2 linked regions of the Coturnix japonica genome follow. Each later gene encodes a partner of the first gene's protein in a complex. Links are inferred from orthologs where the notes say so. Each region holds a gene or a part of one and is shown on either strand. Other genes may lie near its edges. The genes, in order: TIMM10 and TIMM9.

Evidence for each region.
Region 2: the proteins of TIMM10 (region 1) and TIMM9 are in contact, whole or in part, in a crystal structure (PDB 2BSK), measured with the Homo sapiens proteins. The link is inferred for Coturnix japonica from reciprocal best matches to the Homo sapiens genes TIMM10 and TIMM9. Residues at the interface, in NP_036588.1 of Homo sapiens: Glu16, Met17, Asp20, Met21, Arg24, Ala28, Cys29, Lys32, Cys50, Arg53, Cys54, Ser56, Lys57, Tyr58, Asp60, Ile61, His62, Arg64, Met65, Gly66, Lys68, Leu69, Leu72; in NP_001291414.1 of Homo sapiens: Lys15, Leu18, Gly19, Tyr21, Asn22, Lys23, Thr25, Glu26, Cys28, Phe29, Leu30, Val33, Asp35, Phe36, Thr37, Thr38, Arg39, Glu40, Val41, Glu45, Thr46, Glu50, Leu53, Leu57.

What each region holds. Positions count from the first base shown.
Region 1 is NC_029520.1:7,774,944-7,777,587, forward strand, and holds TIMM10 (mitochondrial import inner membrane translocase subunit Tim10), read right to left. Parts: upstream 1,422-2,644; 5' UTR 1,354-1,421; coding exon 1,283-1,353; intron 1,111-1,282; coding exon 909-1,110; 3' UTR 822-908; downstream 1-821. Other genes in the region: SMTNL1 (smoothelin-like protein 1), read left to right, coding at 2,381-2,644.
Region 2 is NC_029520.1:50,197,320-50,200,759, forward strand, and holds the end of TIMM9 (mitochondrial import inner membrane translocase subunit Tim9), read left to right. Parts: 5' UTR 1-22; coding exon 23-61; intron 62-438; coding exon 439-534; intron 535-2,427; coding exon 2,428-2,562; 3' UTR 2,563-2,930; downstream 2,931-3,440. UniProt on the Homo sapiens protein: Mitochondrial intermembrane chaperone that participates in the import and insertion of multi-pass transmembrane proteins into the mitochondrial inner membrane.

The sequences.
Region 1 (2,644 bases):
GGGGCCCAGCGGCTGCGGCGCTGCCTTTCCAGGTCACGGCACTCTCTCCTCGTGAAATATTGATGGCCCCGGCACCACTGCTGCCGGCCGCAGGGCCCCACGGCGCACGCACCGCTCGCTGCGGCACGGCTGGACGGACACACCGACGTTACACTCAGCAATGCCACCCCGTTGTCACGCCTGCAGCACCTTGCACACCCACTGCTTGCACGACAGGCTCACGGTGGGGCGTAATGCGACCCACAAGCTGTGAGGACAGTGAGTGTGCGCGCAGCCTGACCCACTTCCAGCCAGCCCCGGGGACACACCGGCACAGGCGCACTGTGTGTGTACGGGTGGATGGACACACAGTGCCCACCCCCAGGCTGGGGTGTCTCTGGCTGGGTGTTCCCATCTAGTAACCCTGTGCAGGTCTTCCCTACACATGTGTGCACATCTGTATGTGTGGCTCTGGGGTTGTTTCCATCCAGGTGTCCCCCCCTAAGTGTCCCCACGTGGGTGTCCCTGTGTGGTCCTTTTCCAGGTGTGGAAAGGGCACTGTCCCTCTCCAGCCATCCATACCAAATGTCTCTGTGCCTGTCCCCATGCAGGTGTGCTGTTTTCTCACTGCCCCCCTGCAGGTGTCCCTTTGTGGCCATTTCTCCAGGTGCTCCCCAGTGTCCCCCCAGCAAGCAGAGTGAGGGGCACAGCCCTGTCCTGACCCCATAAGGGATAAGGAAGGTTTCAGCCTATCCCCGAGGCTGACGTGGGCACAGCAGACACGCCGGGGTGCCCCCATCTCCAGTAGGTTAGTGGGACACCCCCTGACACAGCACCACAGACGGGTTTGGGGGGCCGAGGGAAGCACACAGCTGGCCCAGAGCCTCCAGTTTATTGGTACGATGGGAAGGGGAGTCCGAAGGGAGGGCTCAGGCGGTGCCCGTGCCCTGCTGCATGCGCTTCAGGAGCTCCTCGTCCTGCAGCGACAGCTCCGTCAGCTTCTTGCCCATCCGCTCGTGCACATCCAGGTACTTGGCCACGCAGCGGTCCAGGCACACGCTCTCGCCTTTCGACAGCTCCGCCTCCTTGTAGTGTGGGGGCACGCACTTGAGGTGACACGCCTGCGTCATCCTGAGGGACAACACCGTCACCCCACGGCTCTGCCCGGCACCCCCCACCCCCGGCACCCGCACAGCCCCCGCACAGCCCCCACCCGCGACACCCACGCGCCTCTCGCTCTCCCAGCCCCTCCCTGTCCCGGGCACTACCCCCAGGCCCCGGCCCGTCCCGTCAGGCCGCGCACCGGTTGTACATGTCGGCCATCATGTCCACCTCCAGCTCTGCCGCCAGCTGCTGTGCCCGCAGCGGGTCCATGTCGCTCCCGCACCGCGCTCCCGCAGGATGCACGTGGGACGCGCTTCCGCCCACACGCTCAGGCGCTCCGCCCCGCCGCCGCTCTCGGTCAATAGGAGACGGGTGGGGGCGGGACAACGGCTCGTTCTCAGCGCTGATGGGACGTGGGGAGCGGTGCGGAGCGGGGTGGGCGGGGGCAGGCGATGGAGGGCAGGGATGGATCGGGGCCGGCCCGGCCCACGCGTGACCTCCGCGTGTCCCCGTGGGTCTGCCCTCACGGCTCTGCCCCCTCGTGTCTGTGTCTGCTACGGGTCTATGGCCCCGTGTCCCTCTATGTCAATGTGTCCCCTATGTCCCCCCACAGATCAGGGCACTCTGTGTTCCCTTTGTCACCCTTCTCTCCCATATATGTGTCCCCCGTGTCCCCTCGTGTCCCACGCATCACCCATCTCCTCCATGTGCCGTGTCTCCGTGCCCACTCGTGACCCTCATATCCCCCCGATATCGCCTCCACGTCCCCCCATGTCCTCACGTGCACGCGTCCCCCCGTGTCCGTGTCCCTGTGTCCCCGTTCCATCCCGCAGTCCCCGCTATCCCCAGGCCCCGCCCGGCCTCCTCTCCCCCCCGTCCCGTCCCGTCCCCTCCCCGCTGTGCCCCTCTCCGGCCCCCGACCCGCCCCGTCGGCGCTGACTGAAGGCGGCACCTGCGGCGGTCACACGGCCGCGGGGAGAGCGGAGAGCGGTGAGCCGGGATATGGGGCGCCGGGGGGCTGGGGGGGACGTCGGGGGTTTGGGGTGAGAAACGAGGATAGGACGGGATGGAGGGGGGTCGGGGTTGGGGGTAGGGAGTGAGTTGTGGAGTTGGGACTGAGCTGGAGGAGCTGGGAGGGGGCAGGAGGAAAACATGAATGGGGAATGGGTTGGGTTGGGGTGTGCAGGGGGGAGGGAGGGGTTTGGGGACAGGAGTGGGGGGTGGGGGTTGGGTCGAGGTGGATGGGAAGGGATAAATAATGGGGATGGGATGGGGACTGGGAGCTGTGTTGGGGCCGATGGGGTGGGCGGGCAGGAGGAACGCTGAGGGACAGAAGTGCAATGGGATTGCATGGGGTGGAAGGCACGGTGGATACTTCAGTGACAACCCTGCAGCCCACAGTAGGAGCATGGAGTCCACAACAACCGATGGAGCCCCAACCCCAAATGACACTGCCCTGGGTGACCTCACACAGACATCAACAGGGCCCACAGAGGGGATGGTGGGGGGGGACAGCGGGGAAAGTGCAGCACAGGAAGGGCAGGGGGAGGCTGGGGGGGAT
Region 2 (3,440 bases), about 42 Mb from region 1:
ACAGAATCTCAGGGAGCAGAATATGGCCGGACAGATATCAGAAACTGATCAGATCAAGCAGGTGAGTGCTGTGTTTGTCAGCAGTGCATTTGAACATCTTCTATTAATTTGTCACATAGAGTAAAATGTACAGTGCATGGAGCAGAAGGAAAAGCTCTCTATATTGTCCTCTGAGATGATATTAGTTCTTTATCAAGCAACATTTTCACATATCCCATACAGTACTGGACCTATTTAAGCACTAACCTATTTAAACACAGCATTTTGGACCTATTTAAACACAGGATTTTATGCTGAACCTGTTAATGGGCACTAAGTTTTCCTGGTGAGCTGTCATTGGAACGTTACCATCACCAAACAGCTCATGGAGCTGTGTATAAGAAAACAATAGAGATTTAATTTTTTTAATGCTGATGGTGTTTTTAATTTTTACTGCAGTTCAAGGAGTTCCTGGGAACATATAATAAAATTACAGAAAGCTGCTTCATGGATTGTATAAGGGATTTCACCACCAGAGAAGTTAAACCAGAAGAGGTATGTCAATGTTTCCTGTGCTTTTAATTACCCTTTGGGTAGAATTTCTGTTTAGTACTCAAACTTCAGAAGCAATTTGGAAAGTCTGATCTTTCAGTTAGCTGGAAAGCTCGTTAGCTGTCAGTGGAGGTGTTCTGGCACACAGCTTCCAAGTGAGAAGAGAGATGTGCTGGTAGAAATGTTTGCCCCCACAGCTCTGGCTGTTCAGTCCAGTTCCCTAAAATTACAAAACGATGACAACGGGGAGCTCCATCATGTACTCATCTGCCAAAAGAAAAGGCTCTGGATCAGATGAGTTACGTTCTCCTTGTTTTTCATGGCTTGTTGGGTGGCTGCTTCAGAGTGGTATAATTATGTTGGTTAGAAGACTTAATAGCTTTGTTTAACTCTAGCTTTCCTGCTACCAGGAAGGAAAAACAATCCAAAACCCAACTAAACCACACATAAAGACTGAAACCAGCCACTTTGTTGGAGCATTTTCTGCCTCCTTAGTTTAACAGCTGCCTCTCAGTGCAGGCAAAAATCATCTCTCTGCTCAGCTTTTGTTTTGCTGCATTAAACCAAGCTCTCCTGGCTTCCCAGGACTGATTCTTTGTTCCCATGATATCTCCTGCATTTGCTTTGCTGGAAATTCTCTTGACTGCAGGTGGTCAGAACTACTCTGAATAAAGTCTTGCCATTGCCTTTCACCAGCTCCTTTTTAGCTGCCTGAGCTATACAAGATGCTTTTCCAAAGCATCTGGTTGTGGCCCTCGTGGATATGGGATACTGGTCTAAATGGATGACTGGTCTGCTCTGATCATAATTCCCTATTTAAAGTTATAGCTCTTTAATAATTAAGCCAAACGCCTCCACGGATCTCCTTGGAGATGCTGCATTTGTACAAGCAGCTGCTGCCCTCCTTCCATACAACACTCTGCACTGCAAGTCTAGACTTCCCCAGGCAGGGTATCACAAACACCACGCCCTCTGGGAGATGTGGCTTGGGGTGCTTTTAGAATTGAACAGCATTTGTTTCCTGGTCAGACTTAACTCCTGCTTAACAGGTTTTACTGTAACTGATGCCAGGTCAGGGAGGGAGAAAGAGAAAGTGGAATGGAGAGAGTGTACATCTGCAGGTTCTGTGTCTTTTCTCTTCCTCTCTGCTTTCTGCATCCCTTTATACTGAGCAGAATCAAAGCAGTTTCTGGTTTTCTGTTAATCATGCAGAGCTTTCATCTTTCTTTTCTATCTAAGCGTGATGACTTCTACAGTGATTGAAAGGTTTGGAACCAAAATATCTGACTGGTAGAACTGTAACTCAGAAATAGATCCCATGGCTTTTTCCTTTACAATAGAAAGAAAGAGAGAGAAAGAGAGAGAGGGAAGGAAGGAAGGAAGTTTAGGGCTGTTCTGTGAAGGTGAACCAGGCTGGTGCAAGACGACTGCTAGAGTTAATAGGAACAAGGTCAAAAAGAGATTAACCTGAGCTAACACGCAGTGGAGCAGATTTGGCTGTCAAAAATAGGTGTTTGCAAACCTGGATTCAGAAAAAAAGGGGGGAACCTAAAAAACCTTTTCTCAGGTTTAGTGTTTACTGCAAAATAAAATCCTTTACGTACTTCATTTCACAAGAGCAGCCCAAGGATGAAGCGTTAATATCTCCTAGCTCTAAGGTGTTTTCCATGAAGACCTTTTTATGAGAGTGCAATTAAAAGACATTTCAAGCATTCCTCAAAAACTTAAGCTTATCGTTTTCTACTGCATAGAGAGACTGTGAACAATTAAATCCTGAGCTGTGAGCCTAACACAGAGCATGAGATGTAGTCAACCAATCTTACAAACCTGACTATTGCACTTAAGTTCTGCTGTGGTTTTTCATCACTCTTTGAAGCTGTTTTTCTCTCCCTGCAGATAACTTGCTCAGAACATTGCCTACAGAAGTATCTGAAAATGACACAGAGGATCTCCATGAGATTTCAGGAGTATCACATACAGCAGAACGAAGCTCTGGCAGCTAAAGCAGGACTGCTCAGCCAACCTCGTTAGACAGGAGCACTCTGTTCAGACTTCATAAGCAGTGCCAGTGTTCACTGGGCAAGAACACCTTTTGGATTTTCTACTGTCAAGATGCATGTCCAGAAACTCTGAAGGTTGTTCTAGATGCTGTTTGGAAGCTGGAAGCCACGGAGGGTAATGCAAAGAGTTAGGGAGCGCTGTCTGACAGCAGAGTCTCTTTCTGAGACTCTCATTCCACTCTGCAGTGTATTGTCAGGGCCCACAGACCACTATATTGCAATTTCAAAGGGAGGGGAAAGTTATGCTTTTCCTTCTGTTAGGACTGATTCAGAGGCAAAAGAAGTGTAATGCGAAAATACGTTTTTTAATTTAATTCAAGTAAAATATATGGAACCATACAGTTGTATGTATGTTTTTTCCACAGGTAATTTAGGATGCTGTTTGAGAGCCATGCTTTGTTTGCAGTTTTATTCCTCACCATCCTCCTATGGAGTCTCATTCATTCTTTGCTGCTTGAAGCTGCTGACTGATAGATAACTCAATTAATTGGTTTTAGCAGGTGGGGATTTGTGAATGTTACATCTCTCAATTTGGGGAGAACTTTTGTTTCATTGCCAGCTGCTCTCTTAAAGCCTTACGATCTTTCTGACTGCAGCCTATTAGAGCTTCAGGCCAAGAGCTACTGTAAGCAGCAGTCAGCTGCTGTAACTAATGAGTTCTGGTAGGCAGGGGAACCTGCCAGCTTGTCCCTAGGTTATGTTGGCCTTATGCTTCACCAGGTCATTCACAAGTGACAGTAATGTGTCATTAACAGCACCTTTGCCAAAGGCATTGTCTCAGCACTCCTTGTTTCTCTCTGGGGGACCCAGTGTTCCTCCAGAACTGGCTTTGCTGCTGGCTGTAAGCAC